4 linked regions of the Oreochromis niloticus genome follow. The protein of the gene in region 1 interacts with the protein of each later gene in a pairwise test. Links are inferred from orthologs where the notes say so. Each region holds a gene or a part of one and is shown in the gene's direction. Other genes may lie near its edges. The genes, in order: cdkn1a, bccip, flad1 and tex11.

Region 1 (7,729 bases):
TTTCTTTACATCCAGTCAATCAACTCTGATAATTAAAATGAAACTGATTTACAAGTTCACTCAGCTACCTTAAGGAGCTCAGTTAATTAATAAACTTAAATCAACTTAGCTAACAGATTATGTTAGTTAAGCTAAAATAGATTCCTAAGTTAAAAGAACTACTAAAGTATTTGAATTAACTAAAAAACCCAAGTCAACTGAACTAGGACAAGAGTTTAAACAATAGATTATTTTAATTTAGCTGAAAGGGTTTTCCCAAGTAAAGATGACAATTAAAGGAGTTGAACTGACTAATAAATCTCAGTCAACTAAACTAAGATGAAAGTTTAGACAACATGTGATTTTTCATTAAGATAACAATTGGTTGTGTTATAAGAACAAACTCTATTTCTTGACTTAACTTAAAATTTTAAGGCAGCCCTTTACCTCATATTTTTAAGTTGAAACAACAAGTTATATTTTACAGTGTATGTATAGTTTATTACTGTCTTGTCACTGCTGCTAGTATAAGATTGGGTTTATTCTGTAAAACTTGAAGATATTTTATAAAATAATTCTGTTATTCTTTTTAGTTTATTATGTCAAAGTAAGTTGCACTCATGGGCCACTTCTTTAGTTACATTAGTTGCCTTAAATTTCCAATAAGCTGACTGATTTTGGTCCATATAGAAAACAAAACCAGATACATGGGTAGATTTGCAAATCCATTATGCAAATGTCCCGTTTCACCACATCCAATGGTGCTCTATTGGGCTGAGATCTGGTGACTGTGGACACATTGGAGTACAGTTGTTCAAGAAACTAGTTTGAGATGATTTGAGCTTTGTGACATGGTGCATTGGTCAGCAGCAATACTCAGGTAGGATGTGGTGTTTAAGTGATGCTCAGTTGGAACTAAGGGACCTAAAGTGTGTGAAGAATATATCCCTCCACATTATTACACCATCGACAGCAGCCTGAAGTGTTGATACAAAGCTGGAGCGTGGATCTATCCATTCTTTCATGTTGCTTACAAAAAATCCTGAACATACAACCTGAATGTGGCAGCAGGAATCGAGACTCATCAGACCAGTTTTTTAGTGTCCAGTTTTTATGACTCCATACCAATTTAAGCCTATGTTTCCTCCTTTTGGCTGACAAGAGTGGTACCCTGTGTGGCCTTCTGGTGCTCTTCCTCCCCTCACCTTCAACCGGTTACAGCAGATGGTTGTCCCTCCCTCAGCCTGCTTCTGTCAGAGGTTTCTTCCTGTTAAAGGGGAGTTTTTCCTTCCCAGAAGCACTTGCTCATGAGGGGGTGGGGGTGTCCTCTAACTGATGGGGTTTTCTCATATTACTGTAGGGGTTTTACCTTACAATGTAAAGTGCCTTGAGGTGATTGTTGTTGTTATTTGACACCGTGTAAAGAAACAATTTTAACTGAACTGAGTTGAATAACTTGAGTATAACGTGTGGTTATGTGAGTTTATGTTGCCTTCCTATCAGCTCGAAGCAGTCTGTCCATCCTCCTCTGACATCAACAAGGCATTTTCACCCAGAGAACTGCTGCTTGCTGGGTATTTTCTCTTTTCTGGACAATATTGCAAACCCTGGAGATGTTTGTGTGGGAAAATCCCAGCACAGCAGCACTTTCTGAAATGCACAGACCAGCCCATCTGGCACCAAATTCCCTTAAATCACTTTTCTTCCCCGTTCTTATGCTTACTTTAAACGTTACCAGGTAATCTTCACCGTGTCTACACATCTAAAGTTGCCGCCATATGATTGGCATATTAGATATTGACGTTAACAGGCTGTTGAACATGTGTACCTAATGAAGAGGCCGGTGAATGCTGTCATATATAGAAGTGGTCGATACATATAGTGAGTTTTTTGGGGAGGGGGGGGCTACCACAGGAAGGATATATTTAAATTGGATACAGGTACAAAGAGCGCATGAGTGAAATTACCCAGTGTAGTTCCATTTACTGTTTACGAGTTTCTCCACTTTTACTTCTACTTTCTCCTTCGCTGCTCTCTGCTCTGTGATGCCAACAGAAACCGAAACGTCGCGTGAGCTGTTTTAGAAATGGGAGGAAGCAAACGAGATGTGTCATTGTGATGTATCCTGGAAACGGGACAAGTACAAACGCCGAAGCGCTCTGTCATGCGCACTGAGAAGCAGGGAGAGACGGGGAGGGGAGGCTGAGCTGGGCTGTGTCCTCCTGAGCTGGAATTTCCTCTCGTCTTCGACCCGAGCCAAGCTTCACGTGTGCTCATGTGTTTACCGGGCCAAATCCACGTGTGCGAGTCCCCCGAGTCTCCGCCTCTGGAATGGAAAGGAGGGTACCCGTCCACCGGAGCTCATAAAAGTTTAGCAGGAGTCCGTGTCTGTAAGAAATCTTAGGAGAAAGTGTCACGGAGAAGTATTTTCCTGTGAATCTGTTGGGTTACATAGCATCAGCCTCGTCCGTTTATTTACATCAGAGCTGCTGTGAAGACTGGAAATCAGAAAAACAGCGAGAGAAGGTGGATAACAGTCAGTTTTCCCCCAGCAAGTTTGAAAAAAGGAAGATTTTTTGTCTTTGAATTAAAATGTAAGTAAAACTAAAAGTTTGAATTTTTGCGCTTTGGTGGTTTCACTTGTGATTGGCCTGTTAGTGTATACAAGTCTAAAAAAACATCGCTGTTTACATTATATGGCTAAACAACCTGTAATGTTATAGGAGCTACTTTTAGTTTCAGTCCTACCTATATGCTTTATCTTTTTTTAATTTTCATTATTTATTTATATATTTGTTCGTTTAATCCCATAAATTACACGTTTCCATGACTACCTCCGTCCCCGTGCTGTTGTTGGGTTTATGTCTTTTAGCTGGTTTCAGTGTATCAACTCAAAACTTTACCAAAGCTTCCCGCACGGTTGTTTTTAGGTGTGTGTGGTTGTGGTTCGTTGGTGTGCAGAGGTGGTGGTGGTGGTGGTAAGGGCTCCAGACAGTGACAGCGCAGTTTGGCCGGCCAGCACGAGCTGCAGCCTCACGTGGACCTGTGTAGTAAACTGGGCAGGGTCCGAGCCGGTTCCAGCGCCGCCCGTGCATGACTCGTTCTCCCGCCACTCGCTTGAATCACTCCGCCCTCTCCTCTCACGCCGCGTCATACGCGTGACTGAGTGGATGGAAATGGGAGGGTGTGAGGAGGATAGTGGCTACAAGCTGTGTGTCCACCCTCTCCCAAAGTGTTTCAGTGTTTCTGATGTTTTACTTCATTCTGGATGAATTGGATTTATTTTGGGCTCCCCAGTTCTTCCCAGTGTAAGGACCCCCACCCACCCCTCCCTGACCTTTGTGCTTGCAGGTCCACAGTTATGTAACAGTGGGTGGGAAGGGGAAACAGTCTGTGCCACTCTGTAGGATCCACCCTGCCTCAGTGGCATTTTTCAGCAGGTGAGGTTAATATAGTAGTAATGTAGTAGTAAAGTGCAGGATTTGGATTTATCCAGCCATTAGTGCTGTGCTATCTTGTATTGATCCACTATCACCGATACCAATACTTTAAACCTATAAAGGGGAGAACAGTGTGTCTTGATTTGTAAGGTGAATCGTCATCTGTTTAAATGTGTGCAAATTCTGAACACATTTTAACTTTCAGCTTTTTATGTGTTCTTAAATTGTGTGTGTTTGTTTGTTTTTTGAGAACTGGGATATATATCTAAAGCAGTTTGAGTCAGCTTCTGTTATTTAAATGTGCCATAGGTTATAAATAAAATACACAAAAAAGGTTCAGACATTTTTATCGCCCGTAGTATCGATGCAGTACCAATACCAACTTTGGTATCCATCCTATTGATATTTCAATCAATCTGTCACTTTGCATTACTTAATTTATGTAATATTATCAAGAGACCTTTCAGTTTTTCTCTCGTTATTCCATCTGAAAGCCAAAGCTGAGCGGGGACATCAGTGAAACCAGGAGCAATAGCCTGGCCCTTCACATCAGTAATAAACTACTGGGCACAAAGACACAAGCGCATTCCTATCAGATGAAAAACTATATATGAGCCTGATCTTTGGGCAATGTGTGTTAAAGTTTTGCTGTTGTTGTTTTGTCTCCAAGATTTCGTTGAGCTTAGAATGAATGAACTGCAAACCTTGGACAGTCGCCACATTTGTGGGATGATGTAACAGGCCATGTTTTAACAAGATTTCCAGCCAAGTCATTTTAAGGACTGTGTTTATTGTAAAGCTTTGTTGAAAAAACTGGACTTAAGGTGCCAGTGAACAGTTACCAGGTTGTGTTGATGGATTTGCTTCTCTGCCTTATCTGGATTTCTCTTCATCGTCATTATTTTCATCATTTCTATAAAAACTCAAATCAGAGTGACCTCTCCCCCTCCTGCTGTTCTCAGCTGGATAATCATGATGGGAACCGCTTCTCATGATTGTTCCCTGAAAAGAAAATCCTGGGAATTCTGCCCAGTCCTTCCCGGATGGCCTTAATGACATCCACCTGAGACACACCTGATTCCTTCCTGTAGCCTTCGCAGTAAAGTGTTTGCTGTTTGTATGTAAGTCCCGTCCAGATCAGCAGATGTGGAAATAGGATTCATAAGTCACCGCCTCGGATTTTTACTCTGCAGGGGGCCTGATACTGCCACCTGGTGGTGATTCTCGGTGTTTGCGCTCTCGGTCGCTACTTAGGACTTGTCCTTACATGTCTGGTTGAGATTATGCCCTGGCATGTACCAGTGATTCAGAGAGAGGGAGGAGCGCTCAGTGAGTCACTGCCTTAGTATAAAAAGCTGCCCAGCGAGACCAGTGTGTTAGTTCACTGAGGAGCTTTACGCTGGTTTGAAAGATGGTAAGACAGATTTTTACTTTCATACTCGAGGCAGTATCAAGTAACTGAGATGGATGCACTTGTAATGGATTACAGAGCTCATTTTGCTTGGTTTAGAATAAGACTGGAGCTGAGGTTCCTCTCCTCCAGAGAAGTCACTGCATGTTTTACTTGTGCAACATTTCATCAGCACTGAGTGTCCGGGAGGATTCGTCTAATCGCTGGAGATGCTTAATTAATGGAGACAAAATTAACTTTCAAATATGCCATGTCTGGTTTATTATTGTTGCTACTTTTTAAAGCAAAATGCCAATCAGTGTTACTGTAACCAGAGATCTTCTCTCTGTTTTCATCAGTGTAGAGTGATGGCTTCTCACAAGCGAATCTTGGGGGTACTGAGAAAAAGACCAGCCCGGAGAAACCTGTTTGGGCCTGTGGACCGAGAGCAGCTACAGGTGGAGTACCAGGCCGCCATGCGTAACGACCTGGAGGAGGCTTCAAAGCGGTGGGGCTTTGACTTTAGCTTGGACAAGCCTCTGGAGAGCAGCGATTTCCAATGGGAGGGTGTCCCGAGCACTAGGGTGCCTCTGCTCTACAGGTCCTGTATGCAGGGTCTCGGACAGGCTGAAGGCCACAGGTCAGCAGAGACAGTTACTCCCAAGAGAGGAAGGGTGGAGACGGCACAGAGCGAGAAGGAGAACATCCCCGGTATGCCGGAGAACTGCATGCACGGCCGGGAGATGCTGGAGAAAACACCGGAGAAGGGCGAGAACACCGGGCTGAAGAGGAAGCAGACGAACATCACAGGTACGTGTTCCAGCTGAAAGCGAGAAGTCTCGTCATTTCACGTGAGAGTGCACGAGCTTAAAATTCCTGCACTTTATCCCAACAGATTTCTACCAGGCTAAAAGAAGAGTAGTGTGGATGCCCCGCAAATCCGGCGAGTGATATTCGGTGGAGAAACGCCAATATTCCAAGAGAACCACCCAGACAGGGCCACGCTCAGGAATCACACGTCCCGCACAGACTCTGGCCGTGCACCCAGGAGGGACCTCAACCACACGTCAATACAAAACAGTTAATTAGGGTACTGCAGTCACTCTGAGGAGATTGGTGTTTTTTTCCCTCAGTGGCAAGAATGCGACATTTGAGCAGAGAAGATTAACAGTAATCTCTGGAATCAGTGGATTTACACTCATTTGGGGGGGGGGATGCCAAAGTGTTGCCCGACTGCACATTCAGCCGCACTGAAAGGACAGTCACATCCGCTGGAGATGTGTCCATTAAAATCATCCAGTCTGATCATGTTTTTAAGGTGAGAAGACAAAGCTCTTTGGCTCCATAGTTCAAATCCATGATTGTTTTTCTACAGCATTTTTTCTACATGTGTATCACAAGGGCTTACCAGTCATCTTCTTTTTTTTACTGTCTAAAGTATGTCATACTTTTTATGTCCAGCTGTACACAGTGCTTTTATCGACAACCATTTAATCAAAGGAAGATGCTTGAAGAGTTCTGACATCTCAAACATGCAGTTGCTTTGCTTAGATTATAAAAGACAGAAGTGCCATCATGTCCTCTTCCATCCTTTTCCATCTACTTTACATCAGCTGATTTTTGATGTCCTTTGACAGCCCGATCCAGACTCTGATACTGATAATGTTGGCTAGGAACACTAAAACACTTTTATTTAGTTATATATGTATAAGAGGTATATCTATAAAGTTAAATATGGTATTGTCAGGTAGCATAATCATTTAAACTGCAGTGTTGCACATAAACACCCAGTATCAAGTGCCTTTACTGGCATTTGTTTTTGGTATTTAAAGCTCCTTCATCAAAAGCAAATGTATTATTTAGTAAGCTAAAATGACACATTTATTATTTTCTATTCACCGTGCAATCTAACTAATGATGTGTTTTGTTTTTGGTTTTTTTGCCTTAATTTGTTCTTTTTTTCCCCCTCTTGGCACTTATTTATGTCTACATTAGCAAATTCTGCTGCTATGGGTAATATGAATGGGTGTCGAGCGACGTCGCTGTGACGCTAACCCTCACCAACAGAGAGCTTTGAAATGCTCCGAAGCCGAGAAAATAAGCGAATGACCCCAAACAATGATTGCACTTCTGTTTGTAGATGCTTTCCTCTGTATTGTGTTTTGTTCAAGGCTGCAAGTGAAAATCTCTGTACTTATTTATTGTGAGATACGATGTCATGTGTTAATTTAGGTTTTGTTTAATTATTATGAAATCCAATAAAATGGTCAAATGAACCGCCTTGTGTCTTTAATGTGTCGTCACTTTACTTTTAAGTAGCAACGGTAAAACTATTACTTAGTTTGGCTGAACCCTTGCAGTGTTGTATCACAGTACAATTTCTCCATTAACGCCATTATACAATCACTAGCCACTTTATTAGGTACACCTCGCTAGCACCAGGTTGGATCTCTTTTTGTCTTCAGAAGTGCCTTAACTCTTTTTGCACAGATTGAACAGGGTGCTGGAAACAAACCTCAGAGGTTTTGGTCCATGTTGACATGAAAGCATCACACAGTTGGTGCAGATTTGTCAGCTGCATATCCAGATGTTCCACCACATCCCAAAGGTGCTCTACTGGACTGGGATCTGGTGACTGTGGAGGCCACTGTGGCGCTAAGGGGCCCAAAGTGTGCAAGAAAATATCCCCCACACCATTACACCATCCCCAGCAGCCTGAAGTGCTGACACAAGGCAGGATGCATCAATGTTTTTGTGCTGTTTGTGAAGCATTCTGACCCTACCATCTGAAGGCTGCAGCAAATATCGAGAGTCCTGAAACCAGACAACGTTTATCCAAACATCTAATGTTTAGCCCGTGCAAATTGTGGCTTCAGTTTCCTGTTCTTAGCTGACGTCACTGGCAACGTGGTGTGCATAT
Region 2 (7,941 bases), on another chromosome or scaffold:
GCCACTGATTATGTCACTTGCTGTGTTGTTCCTGTTGGTCTCAGTAAAACTGTCAGTGGTACTGTTTTCAAAATCAAAGTCACCACTGCTCTCAGGTTCTGTAGTGATGACAGGGCTGGTCAGAACAGTCTCTTTATCAGGGACTCCACACCTTGGTTTGTTCATTGCTAACTTGGTGGCCTCATCAAACACCCCTGTAACAGGCAGACCTGAAACCCTCTGAAACTCTTTAAGTGCTGAAATAAAGGCTTGGTTCTCATTTTGACGGTTATAGCCCTGCTGATCACCAGCTCGATGAGCAGCTCTCGAGTAAGACGCTGAGGTTCCCTCTTGGATTGTGGCTTGAAGATCGTCGAGGAAGTCACCGCTGAAAGAGGCATCTGAATCCTCAAACTGAACCTCCTCCCAGTTAACTGGCTTGATGAATCCATATCTAGAGAGAAATAACTAAAACAAGACACGGGTTACATTAGACAAATCCCCTGTCTGGTTAAATGGATGCTGAAGTTTGAGAAACACAGGTAGTCAAAAAAGAAGAAAAAACAATATACCTCAGCTGTGTACTTGTCTGTTATAGCCTGAGCTCGGTGAGAATTAAGGGTCTGCGTATCAGAATGATCCCGATTATGGAAAAGTTTCTCTGCATCAGTTGTGCTAATGTTGGTCAAAAAGAGCATAAATATCAGCTGGATTAAATTCAGCATCGTGGCCTTTAGCGGTTTACTCCTGGGTCTATATGCAAGATGAGATGATGACAAGTGAGGAGCAACGCTGCTTTATAAGCAAATCCTTAGCTTCTCCACACCCCTCCAGAGGTGTGACTCTACAGTAACCTGCTTTCTTCACCTCTGCGTGAAAAGTAAACTCATCTTTTACAATCTACGACTGCTCAATTTGACTCTTACTCTGTGGTTATGTTATACATGCTTCAGTGGTTTTAAATGGACTGCAGCTGATCCGTGGAAAGATGTTAAAACCTTCACATTCATGTGGACAGTAAAAGACAGGGATGACCCCTGCAAGCACTGTGTTGGACAGGAAATAAACACACAGAAACACACAAGCAATAACCACAGACAAAATCTTCAATATTATCAAAATGATTGGCTTTTATTTTCTCAGTCATTTTCTTACATCATATAAAGCAAATTATAATTTTATCTTAGACTTTCCTGGCTCTGGTGCTGCAAAAAATAACTTTTTCTCAGTGCAAAAATAGCAGAATCATATGTCCAACAACAATAAAGATGGGCAGTAAAGCAGTAAAACACACAAATAACAGTACGTATTTACATATATAATAACAACAAACACCAAAGATGAGGCAGGTGGATTTTAAAAGCTGGTCACTGCAGAGTTTTAGCTATCGCTATCGCCAGGTGTTCAGCTGTTGGCTTTTCTGCAGTGCAGCTGACACAAAGGCCTTCTGCTGCTATTGCATGTTGTGTAGTAGGCCCTATGGCTGCAAACTGGAAACAAAGACACTTACGTGAGTAAAGCTCTGTTAAGCACTTCAGATTCATGCATTATTTAAATCTATTTGTGTATGACTGTGAGGAAGATGTACCTTTATTTGAGTCAGCTGTTCAGCCGAGAGCCTCCGCACCACTTCAAGGCAAAACTTCACTCCTGATGGACTGAAGAAAGCTATGCTTGCTGGGATGCCCTATAAGCATACAAACAAATGAACAGCTGCTATACTGAAACAAATAAATAAATAAAAGCAATAAGAATGACACTTTACCTGCTCTGTGAAATAGTTCTTTAGATTTTTCTCCAGATCGGGATGTTCTGCTGTTTGATAGACAGTTAGTGTCTCTAGGGGCACTCCTGGAAACAAAGAAACAGATCCCAACAGTGATAAAGATAGTGCAATTATTATTTTATAATTAGAATAATCCCAATGGGAATTTTATCACCTTGAGTTTTAATTGTCAGGCACAACAGGGGGAATGCTTACCATTTTCCCTTAAAGCCGTGGGCAAGACTTCCCTTTTGATTGAGCCACAGGGGAAAAAAAGTGGTGGGATATTGGTGGCCTCTCCTATGACGGGAATTATACGTGAGATCATATGAGTAATAAGAGCAATCATAAAATTACTATTAAAATTAAACTGTGAGGAATGTGAGACTCCACAGTTACGCCGTACGTTCAATAATAAGTCGTGATAGGACCTCCGCTGTCCCGGTGTCCTCTCCCAAAGGGTTCAGACCTAGATTCTGTACTGTATGGGATAAAAATCATGAAAAGGAAAAAAAAATGATAAGCTATACAGTAATGTGGTAAATTCTTGAGCCACCCCACATTTCTTTATATTTTGCTAGAAAATGGGAAATAGGTGCAGCAAGGTTTTTAAAAGCAGAAAACACTAAACAAAAGACATTACGTTCTAGTCTTTTCTAAGTTGTCTGCTATGTGTAGACACAACAATTGTTCATTCCTTGACTTGGGTGCATTTTTTTTTTTTATACTTGATGCATTCATAGGCCAGTGTTAAGTGGCTTAACAACCAAACCGCATTCCTCTGAAAATGGCACAGTACAAAGCCTGGATTGAAAATAAGTGGAAAAACCAGCAAATGTCAGAAGACAAATTTGAAAGACCTTCTGAAAGCCTGGAGGAGTAACTCAAGAGCACTTTGAAAAATTACAAGGACGTCTGGGTCCTTGGAAGTAAAATACAAAGAAATGAGGGTGGCTCAATACTTTTGCACAGTCTGCTAAATACTGACATAAGAGCGTGGCAGAGAAAACACATTCATTCACTTCAACTAATTCAATAACTAAATTAGAAGCTCACTGAGAGACTCAAAATAAAAACCCACTGTGAAATGTTACTGAAAAGAAGAAGCTAAAGCACACATGTAGAAAGTGTTGCACCTGCTTGTTTTGTAAAGACACTGAACAATCACTAACGGCAAACTGTCACTTGTGTATAACAAATGGCTGAAGGTAGACAAAGCATTTCACACATCACTATGAGCACCAGGTGCCCGACACACTCTGGTGCAATTAGCACGAGTTTACAAGGAGCTCAAGACACAAAGGAGGATTTTGGGAGAAATTACCTTTGTCCATAGATGTGACTCACCTAATGAAGCAGTGGCCTTCCCAACCACATAGATGGACTTGGTGTTCCACTTGTCTTTCGCTGCTTTGTCCCATTCTCAATAGCACAACATACACTGGGCATTACAGAAATGTACTACAGAAACTTGACTTGTTTTTTTAAGGTTTTTACCAAAAAAAGTCATTTCTATCAATGATATACAGCAGCTTCGAGAAAAGTAATGTTTATCACCTTCCCTTCTTTCATCCGCTTCCAAACACATCCTTACAGCCTCCACTGCTCTTGGACTGGTAAATATGAGCCCACCATATTTCTCTGGTTGGAAAAGCTGGAATAAGCAAAATACATGAATCCACTGAATATGCAAACTGTTAAAATGAACGGATTAATGAATGGACAATGGAACAACAATTTACCTTATCTGACAAAGTGTTTAATGATACAAACTTAAAAGACAGCACCGGAAGTAGGGTTCCTTTATGTCCGCGTGATTCCAGCTCCTTCGAAGTGAAAATAATAACGGTTATACTGACAAATTTTAAGAAACTGGTTTAAGTTAGTTGATTTAACTGTAAAGGGCGTGTACCTTAATATAGGGATCAGATCCAGACTCTCCATCTTTTGGTTCTTTAAGCAGCAATACACGCATCTTGAAACACTGGATTATTAAAATAACAAAGATGGTTAATTCCGAACAAACCAAGGTAAAATAGGTTTACTAAGGTCTGCAATAATGTCAAAGTCAGAGGCTTAAGCTACAAAAACACTGAGGACATTGGGTGTGAATGCATTTTAAGCAACGTTACACCCTAAAACGGTCACATGCTGATAAGACTGTTGTTGAGTCACGATCATAAGACTGTGCATGAACAGCGAATAAATTAAGCGAATGGGCCATTTTAGTTAAAAGTGTATGTGAAGTGTCTTCTTCCGTAAGAGTGTTCTTGTTTACCCTAGCAAGACACGGTGCATGACAGACTATCTACGGTAGCAATTAACAGAACCTGTCTGTGATAATGTGTGATAGAAGCGAATATTTTATCCGCGTATAGCTACAGTGACACGAAGTACAAACGGTGAAAAAGACGAAATATTAGGCAAAATTTATGTACCTGGAGTGTTCATTCAGACTTTCATCATCCACGGTCGAGGAGGGGAGACAGAACACTGTCTAATTGACTAACCTTGTAAAATAATCGTATTACAAGTAGTATTACAAGAATGTGTTTATTTAATTTAAAAATATAGTTTCAATAATTTAAATTAATATCTACTACATGTGACAAAGGGTTCGGGGGCATGTGAATTTATTTTCGTCCCCGTTTTATAGAATGGTTTATTCCATTTCACCAACGGGCAACAAGCCGACATTGAAGCTCTGAATGTGGATTTAATAAGCGGCAAGCCGTGTATATGTGGAGCCATAATGGCGGCTTCAGGGTTTCAGTTTCGTAGCTGACAGTTGCTAGTCTTTGCCCCGCCCACTTAGTAGACACGTGTGTTTTAAGTTTGCAGCATGGCTTCATTGGCTAAGAAAAGGGCAGTAGGTTTTGGTGAAAAACCCGAGGAAAGTGACAACAGCTCCGATGAGAATCCAGAGGAGGAAGACGATTCCGGAGAAGAGGACAGTGAGGCGTCAGATGAGGAAATTAATGAGGTAAAAGAACAAACACGTCTTAGAAGGGAGGCATGGCCTTGCTAACTAGTTAGCTAAGTCAGCAGTAGGGCTAATGTGAACAGAAAGGCTCATGAAAATATTTTTTTGGTTAATCATGTGAGAAAATAAATAACTAATATACTAGAATATGTTATTTCGAAGATACTGTACTTGAATACGCTGTAATAAGTTAACCCTGTGAAACTAATATCGGAAAGTTTCGCACAACTAATCAGAGTATGGGTTACAATAAAACTTGCAATTACGACTTCTACGCTTTCAGGAGGTCGTTGTAGACTTTGAAGCTCACACCATCTCAGACAATGACTTCAACGGCATAAAGAAGCTGCTGCAGCAGGTTTGGGTTTAGTATTGTTATTTCACGTTTCAAATACTGTGTGTAAGCAGGTGTCACTGACGTCATTTCTGTTATGTTTGGATACAGCTTTTCTTAAAAGCTCATGTGGATACATCAGAGATGACACACATCATCATCCAACAAAATCATGTTGGAAGTGTCATCAAGGTGAGAGATGTCATGATAATTTGGGCTTTCAGTGATTTCTTTGAACTTCATCTTAATGCAAACAATGCATACTGCACACATCTTAATGACTTAAAAAACAGCATTTGGGAGTACATGTTTGAATTTCTTTTGGCGTTTTATTAATCCAAATGGGATCAAAAGCAAACACGAGGAACCAAAAGGCTCAAATATATACATACATTTATTTAAATATTTTGATTAGTGGTGCTGAAGGTTATACAGTGTCTTGACTTGATGAGGCCAAGGCCTATTTATCTTATTTGTAATCATTATTTACTACAACTGGTAGTTTATCTTTAACAGCAATACTCAGCAGTTATTCGAATGTGGGACAACTTTGCCAAGATCTGGACAAAGACCTAAACTGTCACCCTCAGATGAGTTGTTTTGAGAGTTGGTTTGGATGTTCAGGAACAACTCAGAAACCACCAAAGTTCAAGCTGTGAACTGGAAACTGCTGGAACACCAGCAATAATTCACTGTCCACAGAGAATCCTTTGAACCTAAGAACACTATACTTTCAAACATGGTGGTGGTAGCATGATGCTCTGGAGCTGCTTTGCTGCTAACAGCATTGCTACATTGTACAAAGTGGATGGCAACATTAGGCTGGAATAAATTCAAATGTGTGCACCCAAGTGTTTTCTTTTTTAAAAGATGTATGTTGTGCAATCATTCCACCAGGAAAAGGAACGGACAAAAAAAATCATTTAAAACCCAAGATTGACATTCATGCTCATTCACATTCATTTCTGAGCAGCTGTTTATTTACTCGTCTCTCCACTATGCTCCAGCAAGCTGAGGCGCCCGAAGACAGCGACGATGACGACGACCCAGATGAAGTGTTTGGCTTCATCACCATGCTAAACCTCACAGAGAGAAAGGTCAGATGACTAGCAAACTAAAACTAATTAGTCTTGAATGGGCTGGAATATGTCAGTGTTTTGTTTTTTTTAATATAAATTTTCATACTCACGTCTTGTACTGTTCATAGGGTGTACAATGTGTGGAGGAGGTGAAGGAGCTGATTGTGGATCAGTGTGAGAAGAATGCTTCTCATATTGTGACAGAACAGCTGGAGAAGATCTTTAATGATAACAGCAAGCCTGTGGGGCTGCTGCTAAGTGAGCGCTTCATCAATGTGCCTCCACAGATTGCCCTTCCACTGCACAAACAGCTCCAGTAAGTTCTGCTTTACCTTCTTATTCCATCTTTAGTGTTTTGTTATTGTTGTGAGAGCAGGTAGAACATGGTCAGGATGGTGTTTGAAAACACTGAAATAAGACGGAACAAGTGCAATACTTTGCAAATCTTATAAATCAGCATTTTATTCACAGTAGAATGTATGAAAGATATCAAATATTTAAACTGAGACCTTTTAGTATTGCATGAAATATATTAGCAGCAACACATCTTAAAAATGTTGGGACAGGGCCATGTTTACAATAGTGTAGGATCCCCTCTTAACAAGTGTTGAACATCTGGGAACTGATATTTACCAGTTAACCTAATTGGCTACAAATTATTCCAGCTTTTTCTTTTTAATACCACTTACTTTTCCACCTTTCTGTTGCTCTTATCCCAACTTTTTAATACATGCTGCTGTCATCAAATTCAAAATGAGCTAATATTTTATGAAACATTTGATGTTTTGTGTTCTATTAATAAAAATTGTTGGTGAGATTTGGAAACTATTCCATTCTGTTTTATTTATTTTTTTAATAGAAACTAGAAAAACATCCATGTGTGTGGTTAAAAGATTTTCATGTTACGGTCCTTTAGGGAAGAAATCGCTGACGCTCAGAGGACAAATAAGCCCAGTGGGAGGTGCCACTACTGCCTGATTATCAGCAAGACCTGTAGAGAAGAGACCAAGAGCATCCCAGCCACAGGAGGAGCTCCCAAAGAGGAATACATGTTTGTTAATGCAGAGGAGGAATTCTTTTATGAGGTAAAGTCGGAAAGAAATCTGCACAAAGTTCAAGGTTTTAACTAAATATTTATTATACACGGGGCTACTTACTTAACAGTATCTGGGTAAAAATACAGCAGTTCGTTAGCTCATGTCAAACTTCAGATAAATATTCATTTAAACAGCCATCTGATAAGCTATTCAATATATTTATACTCTGATTTCAAGCCTGGTCCGTGTTTTCCTTACAGCAAGCCATCTTGAAGTTCCACTACACAGTCCAAGAAGAGGCAGACTCCTGTTTAAGTGGGAGGTGGTCATTTACGGACGTGCCCATGAAGCCTTTCAGGACTGTGATGCTGATACCCACAGACAGAATGCCAGCCATCATGGAGAAACTCAAAGAATATCTATCAGTGTGACCTTCACAATAAACCAAGACACCTATGGACACAGTGACAGCTTTCAGGCTTCTGAAAATCATTCAATATATTCTTCAATTTTTGTACAGTTTGTTTTAGGAATGCACGTATTCATATTTAGAACATGTAGGGCGATGGTTTACCCAGTTTTAGAAATTTTAAAGACAGTTTGTACAAATTGTAAAGACATAGGGAATAATCACATACTTGAATACTGGAAGAAACTTCATGCAACTGCATATCAGAGGTGTTAGGAACACTTCAAAATCCTTGGTTTTTAACATTCAGCTGCACATTTCATCCCCAGACTTTCCTTGATGTCACATGTTTTAA
Region 3 (7,836 bases), on another chromosome or scaffold:
AAAAAACCACAAATTGCTAAGTAGTGAAGGAGTAGTGAAATGTGTCTTTCATAATAATCTCCAATGTGATGGGAAAAAACTTGTTCTAGGTGCAAGAATCCTACACCTTTTATCGCTTTTATACAAAAGAGGGAAAGTAAGAACGTTGGAGAAGACGACAGCAGCAAAAAGTTGGCCCTTTATACCCACAAAATATCCTCAAATAACTGTCTTATTTTGCTCAGGTCTAACTTAGTTTGAGTTTATTGGCGCCTGTTAAAAAAAAGAAAGGGCATGTGAGTGACCTGCTTTCTGTTGTTTTTGTTCGTCCAGAGGACACAACGATGACTTTCTATTGTAAACTTATGCTATTACTTTAAGAGAGGCTCCAACAACAGCTTACTTAGGTTTCAAGTTTTAATAATAAAACCTGGCAACACACACACACACGCACACACACACACACACACACACAAAGTTTGAAAGCACGAAGTTAAACATTTAGTTAACTCGTGCACACCCCAGCCTGACCATTTACATATTTCTTACAGTAACCTAACAGGCTCGACTGCACCGTGGCGTAACATAACAACGAAACATTGAATTGTCCGGCAGAACTATGTGTCCCTGCGGGGACCACAAATTTAGCACATAATCAGTTTCCTCACACTTTTCATACGTGCTATAGCTGACGCACGGCACGCACAGACCACACCATGCCCCCCCAAAAAAGTGTGGGCAACTTTAACGAGCAACTTACCAGCTCTGTTCCTCCCTTTCCCTTGAATGCCCCTCCTGCCCACCAAGCTCTGTTGCTGCTGCTGCTGCACAAATTTCAGCTTAATTTCATATAACAGGGCAAAGGGTCGACAGTTTTGTCCGCCGGGATCCTTGTATACTTGATGATTAACTTCATAAAAGAAGACTCTAAACTTCTTCTTTCCTCTCCCTTTCCGTCCCTGCCTCCTCCCCCTACCTCCCCCTCCACGATCACGACAGAAGTCACTTCCGCGAACCACGCAGCGTCATCCGGCTCCTCTCTCTCTCTCTCTCTCTCTCTCTCTCGCTCTCTCTTTCTTTCTCTTCTTTTCCCCCACTCCCGTGTGAGTGTGTGTGTGCGTACGCGCTCGCGTACCAAATTGCACCTGGACTAGTCAGTGTAGGTTGCGCAAAAGTAGAAATCCCTGACCGCGAGCCATAAGTCTGCAGTTGCACATGTACTTTACCGTAGATAAATACAGCGCAAGAACAGCTGTTTTCTGCCTGAAGTGTTGCTTTTTCCAGCATTTAGAAAGAGACCGCGATGACCCGCATCCGCTACCAAAACAAACCATCAGCATCAGCTCAGGGCATAAGCTGCTGCCGCCTGCTTTAAGGTGTTATTACCGCAAAGTGTGGGATGCGCAGACATGACTACATATGCACTACATATGTTTTAAAACACACATTTCGTCGTGATGTCCATACATTTGAATATGATTTTCTTTTCTTTTCTTTTGTAAAGCAGTTTGGTGATGAGATAACTTTCTTAAGGCCGCAGCATCCTCATACCACCAACAAGTAAACATGACATTGAGCAAGACGCTAAAGCCCAAGAACTAGATCTTTAGCACAGATTGTATGCATAATACACATATTATCACGTACGAAGGCAAAGGAGTGGCTGAATTCTACAGTTTTAGTACATGCTGATTCAGTGGATCGGTTCATGCGTTGGTGCACTGACACGTGCGCTTTTTTTTCTTTTTTTCCCAATGAAGCATGTAAAAATGTACCTGTGAAGCAAGTTTGCCCTTATTTTACTCAAATGCATTCCCCCAGGAAACAAAACGAATACAGTTGTGCTTGCATCTCAGAATTGCCCATTCACGTAATCATTTCTAGTTTTTATATAATTGTATGATAGCCCATCATATAATTGTATCACACAAAGCATTTTTATTTTTCACGTTGATAAGGACTTGATCTGCAATCCCATTCTGCTGAGTAAGATAAGATAAAATAGCTGTTATTACTCCTACATCTGGGAAATGGGCATTATTACAGCAGCAAAGTGGACAGATAATAATAACTGGAACAATAATAAAACAATAGAATACTTTATCATTTTGTAGGTCATATGATCTGATAGAAAAAAAAATACATAAATGAATCGTTATACGCGCTCTGGTTAAGCGGACATAAAGGTACAAGGAGTTCAGATGAATGATCAGTGCTTAAATTTATTAATTTTTAATTAATTCAGACGGACAGAGTATATCTTAAACCGCCAATGTGTTTGAAGGCAGTAAAATGCTCTGCGCGAGAAGCAATTCATCTCCACTTCGGTTTAATATTTCATCCACAGGCAGACAAAACTGTTAAATATATGCCAACATGCTCCACCCACAGGCGAAGAAAGTAATTATGAGTTTAATAACAGCATTTAGGTTTCGTGGAGTTCACTCCTCCACTCAGCAGGGGCGCACGAGTAACAGTAATCTCTTTTGAATCGGGCAAAGGAAGAAGTGATTCTCCGTCCTCTTCCGGGTGGTGGTGCAGCAGCAAAGTTATGTTACTAATGGTTTGGCTGATACTTGTTTTTAAAGTAGATAAGCGACATTTATTACTCCTCACTAACTGTGCTGATTCCGCCACATCTTTAAATGACTTTAGTGTACATGACGTGCTGGCCGTTAAGACCCGCCTCCCGAAATATGATTGGCTACCGTAGTGTGGTTTGAAGGTCACGTCATACCTTGAGCGACAGCTCGAGCTGCAGCTGTAGCTACCGGTGATAGGGAGCTTTGCACGGACATTTACAGCTGAGGGGTAAGTTCCCTCGGTTTTAATGAGGTTGGTTATCAAATAATAAATGTAACACCCGGACTTTTCCTCACATTAAACATATTCGTCGAGAGATATCGACAGTAGAGACAAAATGGAATATGCACATCTACTTAAATCGTACTTCTTTATTGTTGCCACAAGTAACCTAGCGAGGAGACTTAGAGTTAGCTAAGAATTTACATTCAGGTGTTACACACGTTCACACACTTGTGATATTTGCCATTTGTTTCAGTTAATTATTTGGTATGGCCATAAATGAATATGTCTGAGTTTACTTTTATTTCGTCCCGTTAGATAACTTACAAATGTTACGCAATGCAAACTGTGTAAGCAGGTGCAAGGCAGTTGTGCCAAAAAGCGAATACCAGTGTTTCTACGTTTTTTATGTCTAATATGTTTGCTTGTGTTGGTTAATGGACTGTAGTCAACGGGATTTACGAAGGGGTTAAAATGAATTATTCCAATCTCTGCACTCTTTTCCAGATCTCTCTTGAAAAACTATTAAAAAAACCAAAAACACTTTTTACCTGGATAAAAAAAAGTCACTTTGCAAAAAACTGATTTCAGCTTCTACTTTGTCACTTTGACTTGATATCGTCCATGAGACATGTTTGACAGATCATAGGCCAGTAAGTCATCTACAACAGTTTACCCCTAATCAATTTTTGGCAAATACCAGAAATGACTGTTTGCTTTATCCTCCTGCAACTGTGACTCCCAGGCTGCTCTCCAAACCAAATGCACAGTGTGAAGCTTAACATACAAGACAAATAGAAGTATCATTAAATTCACGCTTCGGATCTGTTTATCCCTTAACAGTGGATTTAAGTACCATTTTTTTCTCTTTTTAACAAATCCATGTCATATAGATGTTTTTGCGTTGTTATCACAGAGTTCTATTTTGTCAGCATTTTGCTAGTGTTTCAAACACTGGATGGAAAATGTGTTTTTCATCAGCATCAAATGATATCTACCTTAAAAGACGCACAAAATATTAAAAAGCAAATCGTCACCATCTTATTGTTAATGATGCACATAGGACTACTGCAATTTAGTTATATACAATTGGAAAACAGTTAATACACACATTTAAATAGAAATAAAACTCTTTCATCAGCAATCAGTGACTTTTAATCAAGTGTAATGTTTTAAATACAACTCTTTTCTTATTTCAAGTTCAACCACTTAATTCCAACTTAAAGCCTTATCAAAAGACCTATAAAAATAAATAGCTGATTTTAAAAAAAAGTAAATTTTAAGGAAATGCAGGAGAAATACACAAATTATTCACATGTTAACAGTTCACCCTTCCTCTTCCAGAGATACCTCCTGCTAGGAGACACACTATGACAGAGAAGAGGGTCTGAACAACAGCGAAGCCTTTTCTGATGCTCTGTGTGGATTCATGCTGATGTAAGAAACATTTCTAGTCACTGTAAATGCAGCAAAATAATTCAGATGCTACATTAAAATGCACAAATAAGTGACAAATTGCAGGAAGATCTTGAATACCTGACCTTGATATGGGCTACATTTGTTTCCTCTGTTGTGGTATTACAGAAATCACTGTTTGTAAGACATGCTGGCTTTTCCTTTAATTTGTGACCCATCTGCATATTAACAGTTGAGCACACTGCACAATGCATTCCATATTGCATATGCTTACATGCTGTGCTAAAGAGGTCTTGTTGACTCGATAGGTTTTTTGACTTTGCTGAGTGTTGATAAATCTAGTATAAATCTGTAGTAAGAAGTGCTCAATTAATTGGTTTCCATGGTTCCCAGCTTTTCTTTTCCTAAGCTGAGTAGAGCAGTGGTGCGTGTGAGGAGACTGGCAGCTCATCTCAGCAAGGCAACCATGTCAACAAACCTCCAGAGCAACAGTTCGTCTTCTGCAGCCAACGGGGATGCTCCTACTGCAGCCATTCTCATCATTGGAGATGAGATTCTTAAGGTGCTTTTGGTGTTGATAAAGCTTGTGCCTTGTGTGGCTTTTAAGCTATATGTGTATGACAGCACCCAATGAAAATCACTGGGAGTTTGTGCAATTGATAAAAATCAATATAAACTGTTATTGGGTTTTTTTGTTTGTTTTTTTGTGATAGAAGTAGGAGCTTGCATTGTGCAGTGTTTAACATATACTGTCATCTGCATCCCTATGTGTCTGGACCTCTATTCAGTCTCTGATGTGCATTTTATGACCTCAGGGGGGAAAAAACTGCGATGGTTACTTCATGTGAGAGCTGTGGCTGTTTCTAAAATGACAAGCTTACTATTATTTTTTTGACTTGACATGATCATGATTTAAACATGAAGTCTTTGATTTCTGTCCAATGTCACATCTCTCTGCCTGAAAATCGGTCTGCAGTCCTTGAATTTCATCAAGCAAGACCTTGGAGTTTCCTTTTTCTTTTCTTTCTTTCTTTTTTTCTTTCTTTCTTTCTTTCTTTCTTTCTTTCTTTCTTTCTTTTTTTTTTTTAAGTTCTTGAATCTGATGTACATGTGGGTGTCTCTTTCAGGGTCACACAGTGGATACCAACAGCGCCTTTCTAACTAAAGCGCTTAGGAAACTCGGAGTGTCTGTGCAGCGCATAACAGTCATACCGGATGTGCAGGAGGTCATTGCCAAAGAGGTGGCCCTCCTTTCATCTCAGTATACGCACCTCCTCACATCGGGGGGTATAGGTCCCACTCACGATGACGTCACCTTTGAGAGTGTTGCCATAGCATTCCACGAGGAGTTATATGCCAATCCAGAGCTCAGCCAGCTAGTTGAAGAATTCTTCGGGGTTGGGGAGAAAAACAGTGCTGCTATAAAGCTTGCGATGGTGCCTCGCTCAGCCAAACTTAACTATGGAACTGACCCTCAGACTGGACAAAAGCACCGCTACCCTCTGGTGAGTGAACTCGGTACAGAGGAATTTTTATAGAACACAAAATTACTTCAAATATATCCAAGCTACATGGCGCTGTTCAACCTTTCTTTAAGGTAAAAAAAAAAAGTGAGGGTGTTTTCTTTACAAGACAGATTGCAAACTAACTAGTTGCTGAAGGAGTGAAAATAGCTTCTTGCAGTGGTCAAAACAATAAATACTCTGAGCACACACAGACACCAGGCATGAAAAGCATTCACACCTCTTACTCACAGGTCATTAAATTTAGACATTTTTCTCTTTAAGGACCAATATAGTACAGAGGATGGTTAATGTCTTTGGTGCTTTATTATTGTCTTTCAAGTTGAGAGACATTAATGTACAGTATATTATTATCCTATCCAGAATTTAAAATGAAACAATGAAGGAACAGCCCTTAAAGAAAGTGCCCTGTCTCGGCAAAAGGTGGAGAAGGAGTTGGATACCATTCTCATGCTTGTTTGCTAATGAAACCCCAGCCAGCAGCCGTTTACCTTAGCAAAAATAAATATCTGACATTTACAAAACTGTAAATCTGCCCTCAATTGTTAGCTGTCTCTGGGTTGCAGAGATGTGATGTTATTCCTGCATCATATCTCAATAGTTTCAACAATGATGGCTCGAGTACCGCCCCACATCTTTTCTCACAATTTGATGTGTCTACCTTTTTCTCCCAGGTCAGTGTACGTAATGTGTACATCTTTCCCGGGATCCCATCTTTAATGGAGAAGGCCTTCAATGGGCTGGAGCATCTCTTTGCTGGTTCAGGGACCACCTTTCACACTCGCGAGGTAACTCCATAACCAAACCTGTTACTTCCAAATCCAGTCCAAGTCAGAATTAGTATACTTCTGTTTTTTTTCTAATTAATTTTTATGTATTTATTTATTTTTTACTTTTTGTTTATAATACAGTTTAGCTAGTTTTAGTTAAACTAACTAAAGTAATGACACTTCCTCTATATTTCTGATATTTCCTTGATACTTTTAATGTATTTTACCTTTTAGTTTACTTTTAGTTAAGTACAATAATGTTGATTTGAATGCAGTGTTTAAATAGTATAATTAAGTTTACCAGATATCTGGTGTTTGTCCAGGTGTTTGTTGATGCAGATGAAACAGACATTGCACCTGTGCTGACCAAACTGCAGGCTGGCTGGGGCCGAAAGGTGGCTCTTGGCTCCTACCCTGACTGGTTGAGCAACTATCACAGAGTTAGGCTGGTCCTGGACGCAGACAGCCAGCAGGAGGTGGACAAAGCCCGAATACAGCTGCTAGACAAGCTGCCCAAGGGGAGCGTGGTGCCCTTAGTCACAGACCCGGTGTCCGTAGCCCCCGCTGAGGTGTACGGATTGGCCAACAGTGGTGAGTGTGCGGAGAGTAATGGAAGATGATTCTTAATATGTGTCATCTTGATATAAAGTGAATACTGACTTGTGCATTTTACACAGGCATTGGGACCAATAAAGAAAGCTAAAATATGAAAGTAATTTAAGTCGTAAAGTCAGAGTGGATAATAAAAAAGAAGAATATAACTGTGAGACAGAATGGTGAATAGATTAGAATAAAGCTTCAACAACTAAGCTATGACAAACTACTCGCAGCTTTTTTTCTTTTCTTTGGATCAGACGTAGAAATGTGGGCTCATTTCTAAGATGCCTCACAGCTTGACTGCATTAACTATGAACCATCCTCTTACTGTTGATTCCTTCCCACAGGTACAGAGCTGGGTGAGAAAGTCATGTCTGCACTGAAAACAATAGAGGCGGCACTCCATCAGTATTCAACAGAGCAAATCTGTGTTGGCTTTAACGGGGGCAAAGACTGCACAGCGCTGCTCCATCTCTACTATGCTGCACTGAAACGGTAACAGGAGGGGAGAAGACGAGATGAGACAATTAAAACATTTTTGTGGATTTTTTTAATCTGTGGGGGAAAAAAAACAAATGACCTGAGAGATGAAAGATGAAAATGAAGATTCAAATTAAAAACATAATGATAGCATTAGAGCACAGTGGGGTGTGAGATCTCAGCAGGAAGTAAATGGAAAAAGAAAACTAGTTGGAGGGCAGCACTTAGAGAAAATCTTGGAGAAGACTGAGTACTTTTTTTGGACT
Region 4 (7,771 bases), on another chromosome or scaffold:
GTAATTTTTAAGTCCTGGACAGAAGTTTGCAGAAGTCAGAGCATTTTGGAAACTGTGTTACTGTATTAGGATCAATGCATTTGTCTCACCGATGTCTTTTAGCTCCATCTAGTGTTGATTGGGAAAAGCGGCACTTAAGAGAAGGTGAGCCTATTGTAAAATAGCAAAAAGGACATTACTGGGAAAGTCTACATCTATAGCAATATTTGTTTCTCTTAATAGGAAACAAAAATGGTTTAATAAATATATTGATACAACAGATTAAGCGGTTTTGTTGAATTCACACACCAAATGAACACTATTTTCTTTATTCTTAACATTTGCCCTTCCAAGATGAGAGAAGCACCTTTTGTGCAAATGTATTCCATGCTGCTGGTTTAAAAAGTTGCTTTCCTCAGCCCCTGAGTTCTCAAAAGGAGATTTACTCAAGAATCAAAGCAACATAGTTGAAGCTTTGGCAGAGGTTTTCTCGGTAATATGTCAGTTATTGTGTTAGAAGTCTCTAGTCCAGAAATTTAGACAGGCAAAAAGAAATCAGTGCTTGTAAGAAAGCAAGAAATCAAAGCTCAAAAATCAAACTGTCTAGATATTCTCCAGACCCATGTCTAAGGTGGTGTTGAGTCAAATGACCTCATATTGCTGTTGAGTCACCCAGGCTACAGATCACGAATGGAAAAACAAAGAGATGGAGAAATAGTTGCTGAATGTCTGGTCAACTCAATGTGAGAGTGAAGTTTTACATATAACAAGGACAAATCAAATCAAGTTTAAGATCATGTTGTTGGGTGGAGTTGGGCTCTATGGGTGCCTTTGTCCTAGATGTCTTTTGCATTATTTTATCAAGACATCTAGAATAAATCCTGACATATCTTTAGAAACTTGGGTTATCAAATGTTTACGGCATGAATTTCTAGTGACTGATCCACGCTATTTGGAATTAGTAAGGCAAGTTAGTTAGATAACTGTAGAAACTAAGCATCACCTTTTAACAGAAAGTATTATTATTCCTCTGTTTTCTGCTCCCTTAAGAAGTCACCACAGCTGATAATCTCCCTTAATCTCACCCTATCCCTACCATGCTCTTATGCATATCCTTCTTCAGTGCATGCATGAATCTTCCTTGTTGTCCTCTTGTTTCATACTTAACAACCTTTGCACACCTAAACAATCTTGCATTAAACACATAGCCCAGTGGAAAAGAAAGCAACCCCCTCCAGCAACTAAATATGTTCACCTGGCCTTCAAACTCTCCAGCTCATAATCAAGCATCCCTGGGATAAGCTGTAATAACCCTGATCCACACAGACCCCACCCTGCAACACACAGGATCCAATTTCCCATTGCCAGCCACTACAGGACGCCCCCACAATTCCCTTGTTCACACTCCAATGGGTCAGAAGTGTTCTGGCAGCATAAGAGCGGTCCTATGCAATATTTTGCAGATGGTTTTACAGTCATGTTGTGATTTCTTAGTATTCCTGTAGTAACTTCTTGAGCTAAATACAATATACTCCCCTAACAGAGACATATGGAAACTTAGGCCTTCATCTTTTCTTTGATTTGAATTGCGTGCATACACATAAAAATGGGAATATTTCAGCTTTTAGAGAGAAAACATTTACTTCAATGAAGAGCGTAAAATATCTAAGTGAGATGTCAGACTTTCATAATGTCATAGTGCTTTTGCCTACCTTAGTACCTTTGAGTATCAAAAAGGTATCAATAAGGGTGGAAGTTTTATTTGGGAAAATGATGAACCTGTCAGAGAGGCACTTTGTTCTTTACACCTGTAAATGGCAGTAAATATGGGAGTCTTTTTAATCCTATTATTAATTTTTTGTGTGATTTGAAACAGAATCATATTCCAATTTGAAAATTGAAAAAGCCTTACTCGACCTCCTCTTTCTGCTTAGCTCTGATTCCCTCTCTTTTCCTGATACCTGTTGCCAGAAAGAAACCAGAAAGTTTTATGTACTTTGACTTACAACTAGATTTTTGGTTTTACACATAAGATAAATTGTTTTCTAACCATAATATCAGAAGGATTTGGCAAGATAATATTACAGTCGCGTGTCCGTCTATGATACCGATGATATTCTCACTATGATACCTGTATTAACAACCACAAGGAGAGACACCTGTACACTGAAAAACAGAACAGGTCTCTGTTCAGGCATTTAGAATTACTGATAAAAAAGATGGATGTGCTTTTGTGGTAACATTACAACTTACAGTCCAAATACCAATTCACTACTTTTTATTTGTTGCCTGGCGAGCTCTCTTTTTCTGTGTCATCCTGATGTCTATATCTACAACAAATAATAAACCCTTAATTTCCCACACTAGTTACTATAAGTACAGGTATTTCAATCTACTTTCCAAGCATGTGATGACTGGAAAATGTCATTTGGCAATAAATGTAAACAAGTGCGCTAAGCCAGCATTACAAGACTTCTTAGATTTACCAAGAAATAAGGGCTTATACTTTTTTTTCCCTTTATGGCCACAATGCCAACAAAGATTGCTGAACTCTGAGTAAATATTGCAGGAGAACCAAAGAGAGTTATGAGAAAATACTTTGTCAGAAAACCTCAGATAACCTGTGAGTATTATATCAACCACAGACTTTATTTAAGAGCTATTGATGCCGACATGAGATCAATATCAGTTAGTGTTGGCAAAGTTAAAACTTAGAGCACGCCCTGTCAAAACATTTAGTTTTCTACAGAACTCCATTATCTGTAAGCAAACACGTGTCTTACTTTGTTTTGTACACTGCTAGCAATTCAGCTTTGCACTGAGCTGACCTTAAAATGACTGAACAATCAAATTTAATATGACTTTACTGCCTTATTTTATGTTCCCAGAAAGCTAAAGCCCTGCATAGCCTGGATCATCTTGTGCTCCAGTAGATGACCCTTCTCTCAAAAGCCCTTGCTGTTTCTTATTTCTGTTTTAATTATTTTTAAATTGAAACACTACATAAACATAAGCCATATACATAAAACACTACACAACACATACATAGACCAAGGTAGATAAGGGGAAAAAAGACAAATAATTTTCAACAAGCAGGGAGCGTTCTAGTAATCAATACAAATTAATTACAAATTTGCAAAAAATTTAAATAAAATAAAAAAATCAGGTCTATAGAGTGCTACATAGTTGACAAAATGTTCTCAGTATGAAACAAATTGTTCTCATTTATACTTAAGAAATGCTGTTATCATATCCATTTTATAAATGCCCATTGTTTTTTCCAGCCTACAACCTTGGGGATCTCCCATAAGTACTTCCTCATCCATTCTGTAAGTATGTACCCAAAATATGCTAACTTTTATGCTAACTAACTTTTCGTAGAAGATATTTAGCTGCTGGAGGGGGTTGCTTTCTTTTGCACAGGGCTATGTGTTTAATACAAGATCTTTTCAAATTCCTATTACCAACCTCTGAGTTATATGCTTTTCTAAACAGTCCTATTAAATAGTGACTTCCACTCACTTTAAACATTTCAAAACGGTGCAGTTTTCCTTCTTTTATTATATTGTATAGAAATCAGAATCATATGCACACAATAAAATCACAACTCAAGGATTTGATAATATAAATGTCTTGCTCTAGTTTATGTTCTTTTATAACACTTTTATGTACCTTAAGAGTCAATTTCACCTAATATTTATATAACCTTGTAAATTGTTATATGATACAATTGGCTGTATGGGAATGGGAGGTATTTTCTTTTTAGTGTTTTTCCATGTGTATTTTATGATGGGCTACACTACTACAAAACAATAATCTCTAAAAGAAGGTAGTCCCAATCTCCCCATTGCAAGTTTTGAGATGAACTGTGGGTCTTGTAGGACCTTGCCCCTTCTAATTCTCTAGCAAATAACTTTCTATAGAAGATGGGGATAAAACAGTAACCAACAGAAACTCTCTTTACTACGGAAGCGTAGAGCTGCCACCCAGGCAAAAGAAAAATAGAAGTATATCACGTTATAACGTGAAAAGTTTATTGTTCTAACAAGATACTTTTCATGTTTGTACAATATACTATCATGTTTGTACAATATACTTTTGACGTTTGAACAATATAATATCACGTTATTACAATATGCATAATTATCACGTTCGTACAATATAAATATCACGTTCGTACAATATAAATATCACGTTCGTACAATATAAATATATTGTACGAACAATATAAATATATTGTACGAACGTGATATTTATGCATATTGTAATAACGTGATATTATATTGTTCAAACGTCAAAAGTATATTGTACAAACATGATAGTATATTGTACAAACATGAAAAGTATCTTGTTAGAACAATAAACTTTTCACGCTATAACGTGATATACTTCTTTTTTTCTTTTGCCTGGGTGGCAGCTCTACGCTTCCGTACTTTACCCCTTTGTTTAATGGTATTTGATTTTTGTCACACCTGCAATTATTATCAAGCTAGTATTAGGAACAGTTTAAGGTAGGCAGAATAATTCCCTCTATTGGAGTAATAGCTCTTTTATATTGCTGTTGTTTTGATATCCTCGCTCTCTTTTTCGCGGGCATTTTTGATAGCCGTCAATCAAATGCCAACATTTCAGTGAGGCGCTAGCTGCTAGCACCTAGCCTGACTGATATTTTTATTCCACAAAAAGTTAAACATGGAGGAACTTACCTCAACTGTGAAAAGTGAGTAACTGACTCGTTCTCTTGACCCACCTATTTATTTATTAAAGTGCTTTTACCAACTGGAGCTGTAGCTTAGTTGTTAATTTAGCTTCCAACCTAGCTAATTCACTAACTGTTAGGTTGCGTCTATTATCTGGATGCACAATAGCTAATAACAGTTTTGTGCCTCTGGTATATTAGCTAAATGTTACTCAAGCCATGGAAGTAATAGTTATTTTTCTAAAAGACAAAGGGAACTAAACAGGCAAAGTCTGAAAATCCCAAAAGCTGTATTATTAAAACTTACTGCTGTTGTGACTGCAGCAAGAAAAAGTTAGCCAGCAGGCTGCCATCTACATTTGTATGTACAAATCTACACCTGGGTAACAATTTGAAACTTTTAAAGCAGTTTTTAATGGAGAGTAAATTCTCTTTATTCAATGGGTAAAAAGGGTACTTGAAGACCTTATGTGTATTTCAAACAGGGTCTTAGAATTTTTAAAGAAACTGCTGTGTTATAGACTTTTTATAAATTTTGTCCAGCCTGTGAAATGCCTGATAATGCAAATGATTAGAGGCATAAAATTGGGGTTCATGTTATCCACTAAATTGCTCATGTTATCTTGGTCACCAGCCACAGTGAATTATTGTTATATTTTACATTATTATAACAAGCTAGCCCCCTAACTTGAAGCTAATATGTAAATGAATACTTTTTTAAAAAAAAATTGCAACTAATTAACCTGATTTGGGATGTATGACTCATATTTCATTTTAGATTATATTCTACCTAGATGAACAATCATTAATAAATGGCTTAATATTTCAGTGCTAATAGCCTAACATTAAGACACAAGAGAATATCTGAATTATTTTTGAAATGAGAAAGGACATCAATGTAGTCAAACTGGATTTTGAGACAGATTTTTAACTTATACAAAAGAATAAGAAAGTGGGGTGCTCTCCATGTCACACACATTATTGTCTTGCACAAACAGTATCTGGTTTTCTTTATAGTGTAGAAAATTCGGATATTCTTATTGCATGAAAAATCAGATGTCACTTTCCACTTCAGAAGACAACGTGTCCTCTGTTACCCTGTTTGTATCCTGTCAACGTCTGTCTTTGTTGACTTTTTTTTAATACACAGGTCTCACTGAGCTCCTGCTGCAAAAGCAGCTAACAGATTATGATGAAGTGATAGAGAAGCTCTTCTCTGAAGTCCCTGGACTTGAGGCTATGCCCAAAATACCAGATCCGCAGGTAGACAAAAACATGTCAGCTTGTTTAACTATACGCCACAAGTCAGTAGTGATGTAAAGTTATAGTATAACAATAAAAACAAAAAATAAAATAAAATGGAGAATTAACAAAATAGTTATGGAAGAAATTTTTTACACCGCTAATATTCTTGTTTAATAGAGCTGAATTAATCTGACCTACTACAAGTTATATGACTGCTGCAACGGTTCCATGAAGTTTAAAGACTGCAATTTAATGTAATATTGTTAATACTCATATGCAAGAAGCTGGCATAATTTTATTTTTTTGTTGTCTTGTTTACAGCTGGAGGAGTGTGCCATCAAGCTGTGGAACTGGGGAGTTACTAAGAATGTGGGTGTCACAATAAGTACAATTCAAAAAGCCCAAGGTAAATTTGTATTTGTATTGTTCCACCCCTCATTTTTTGTATTTTGCTAGGAAAATACGAAATAGATACAGAAATGCATTTAAACATGCAAATGTGCATGGAAATATATAAGACAAAAACAGTCTGTACTATTCTAACAAGTTTCAAAGTTAATATTTGGTATGAGCACCTTTATTGTTCAACCCATCGTAAATTTTAAAGGTTTCTTGTAATTTCTTTAAGTAGTCTTAAGGAATAGTTCTCCAGGCTTCTTGAAGGAGATTCAAAGCTCTTCTTTGGAAGTTGGCTGCCTTTTTTCAGTTCTCTGTCAAGATGATCCCACTTTGATCTCATTTTGACTTTAATAATATTGAGGTCTGGACTCTGAGCAGGCCAGTCCAAGACTGATAGTGTTCCACTGTGCATTTTTCTATGCTTTACTGCAGTGGCAGTATTTTGGGATCTTCTCTCCTCACATTCAAATAATCTTACTATGCTTACAGTGCGTCATGTTGCATGCAGTCTGTTGTACTGCTGTGAGCCTGAGAACCCAACAGAGGGCACCATTCGCAAGCAGATTCTGGTAAGCAGTACTGAAGGCAGCCTCTGTGAGTGCCCAATGTTTCTGGAGGACAAGGCATGTTTGTCAGTGTCTAATCTTTACAGATGGCCAGCAAAACAGGGAGAACCTGGCTGGACTGCAAAAATCCCCAGATGGCAGATAAATACTTAAGCCTTGCTGTCAAGGTGAAGAAGAAAATAACACTCATACTGATAGTCTCTTAATTCTGTGTAGGTTTGAAGCAAAGACAAATACCATGTTTTTAGAAATGACTCAAAATCTAATATCCCCAGAGCCTTGAAATCCTCTATAGCCAACTGATGTCCAGAGGCAATGGCACAGCTGACATCAGTTCATCCAAGGAGGATGTGGAGAAGGATCTACTTCGAATTCTCTCATACCAAGCAGAATCGGTGAGCTGTGGCGCATGTGATGTTCGACACCTTCGATGTGAATATTTGTTCTTGTGATATTTGGCAGCTTAGGAAGTGCCATTCTGACAGACTTGCAGTGTGAAGTGTGAGACAGCTAAAATGTGAACTGAGAAACAATGAGAGGGGTAAATTTCTGACAGCTAATAGGGAGTATTATATTGTTTGCTGACATTTAATTATAAGTTCAGATCTGTTCTCCTTTACAGGCCATAACTCAAGGCAATAACAAAGAGGCTGTGGCCTACATTCAGCTTTGTAAAGACATGTTGCTGCGACTACCAAAGGATGTAAGAAAAAAGGCCATCTGTTGCTATTATAACAACACTATATATTGATTTTTCACTTTTACACTACATATTGTTATGGGATGTGTGGGGGATGTTAACTGTGATTATACTTTCTCAATACAGACTGCATACCTCTCCCTAATGTGCTACAACTTTGGAATAGATGCTTACGATGTGAGG

What was found.
Region 2: the proteins of cdkn1a (region 1) and bccip interact in a two-hybrid assay, tested with the Homo sapiens proteins (2 studies listed by BioGRID, with this or other methods). The link is inferred for Oreochromis niloticus from reciprocal best matches to the Homo sapiens genes CDKN1A and BCCIP.
Region 3: the proteins of cdkn1a (region 1) and flad1 interact in a two-hybrid assay, tested with the Homo sapiens proteins (2 studies listed by BioGRID and IntAct). The link is inferred for Oreochromis niloticus from reciprocal best matches to the Homo sapiens genes CDKN1A and FLAD1.
Region 4: the proteins of cdkn1a (region 1) and tex11 interact in binary tests that used the Homo sapiens proteins (3 or more experiments, as listed by UniProt). The link is inferred for Oreochromis niloticus from reciprocal best matches to the Homo sapiens genes CDKN1A and TEX11.

What each region holds. Positions count from the first base shown.
Region 1 is NC_031970.2:21,861,240-21,868,968, reverse strand, and holds cdkn1a (cyclin-dependent kinase inhibitor 1), read left to right. Parts: upstream 1-4,688; 5' UTR 4,689-4,830; coding exon 4,831-4,833; intron 4,834-5,168; coding exon 5,169-5,619; intron 5,620-5,704; coding exon 5,705-5,760; 3' UTR 5,761-6,875; downstream 6,876-7,729. UniProt on the Homo sapiens protein: Plays an important role in controlling cell cycle progression and DNA damage-induced G2 arrest. Involved in p53/TP53 mediated inhibition of cellular proliferation in response to DNA damage.
Region 2 is NC_031973.2:11,324,647-11,332,587, reverse strand, and holds the start of bccip (protein BCCIP homolog), read left to right. Parts: upstream 1-4,455; 5' UTR 4,456-4,586; coding exon 4,587-4,727; intron 4,728-5,010; coding exon 5,011-5,085; intron 5,086-5,172; coding exon 5,173-5,253; intron 5,254-6,068; coding exon 6,069-6,158; intron 6,159-6,268; coding exon 6,269-6,456; intron 6,457-7,056; coding exon 7,057-7,225; intron 7,226-7,437; coding exon 7,438-7,608; 3' UTR 7,609-7,941. Other genes in the region: uros (uroporphyrinogen-III synthase), read right to left, coding at 1,347-1,469, 1,568-1,666, 1,745-1,830, 1,961-2,044, 2,151-2,225, 3,092-3,166, 3,302-3,398, 3,487-3,570 and 1 more. UniProt on the Homo sapiens protein: During interphase, required for microtubule organizing and anchoring activities. During mitosis, required for the organization and stabilization of the spindle pole.
Region 3 is NC_031976.2:20,867,779-20,875,614, forward strand, and holds the start of flad1 (FAD synthase), read left to right. Parts: upstream 1-4,582; coding exon 4,583-4,762; intron 4,763-5,327; coding exon 5,328-5,705; intron 5,706-6,397; coding exon 6,398-6,511; intron 6,512-6,816; coding exon 6,817-7,084; intron 7,085-7,437; coding exon 7,438-7,585; intron 7,586-7,836. UniProt on the Homo sapiens protein: Catalyzes the adenylation of flavin mononucleotide (FMN) to form flavin adenine dinucleotide (FAD) coenzyme.
Region 4 is NC_031966.2:20,005,347-20,013,117, reverse strand, and holds the start of tex11 (testis-expressed protein 11), read left to right. Parts: upstream 1-4,411; 5' UTR 4,412-4,671; coding exon 4,672-4,699; intron 4,700-4,896; exon of another isoform or gene 4,897-5,039; intron 5,040-5,828; coding exon 5,829-5,941; intron 5,942-6,244; coding exon 6,245-6,329; intron 6,330-6,811; coding exon 6,812-6,891; intron 6,892-6,974; coding exon 6,975-7,055; intron 7,056-7,163; coding exon 7,164-7,283; intron 7,284-7,510; coding exon 7,511-7,591; intron 7,592-7,714; coding exon 7,715-7,771. UniProt on the Homo sapiens protein: Regulator of crossing-over during meiosis. Involved in initiation and/or maintenance of chromosome synapsis and formation of crossovers.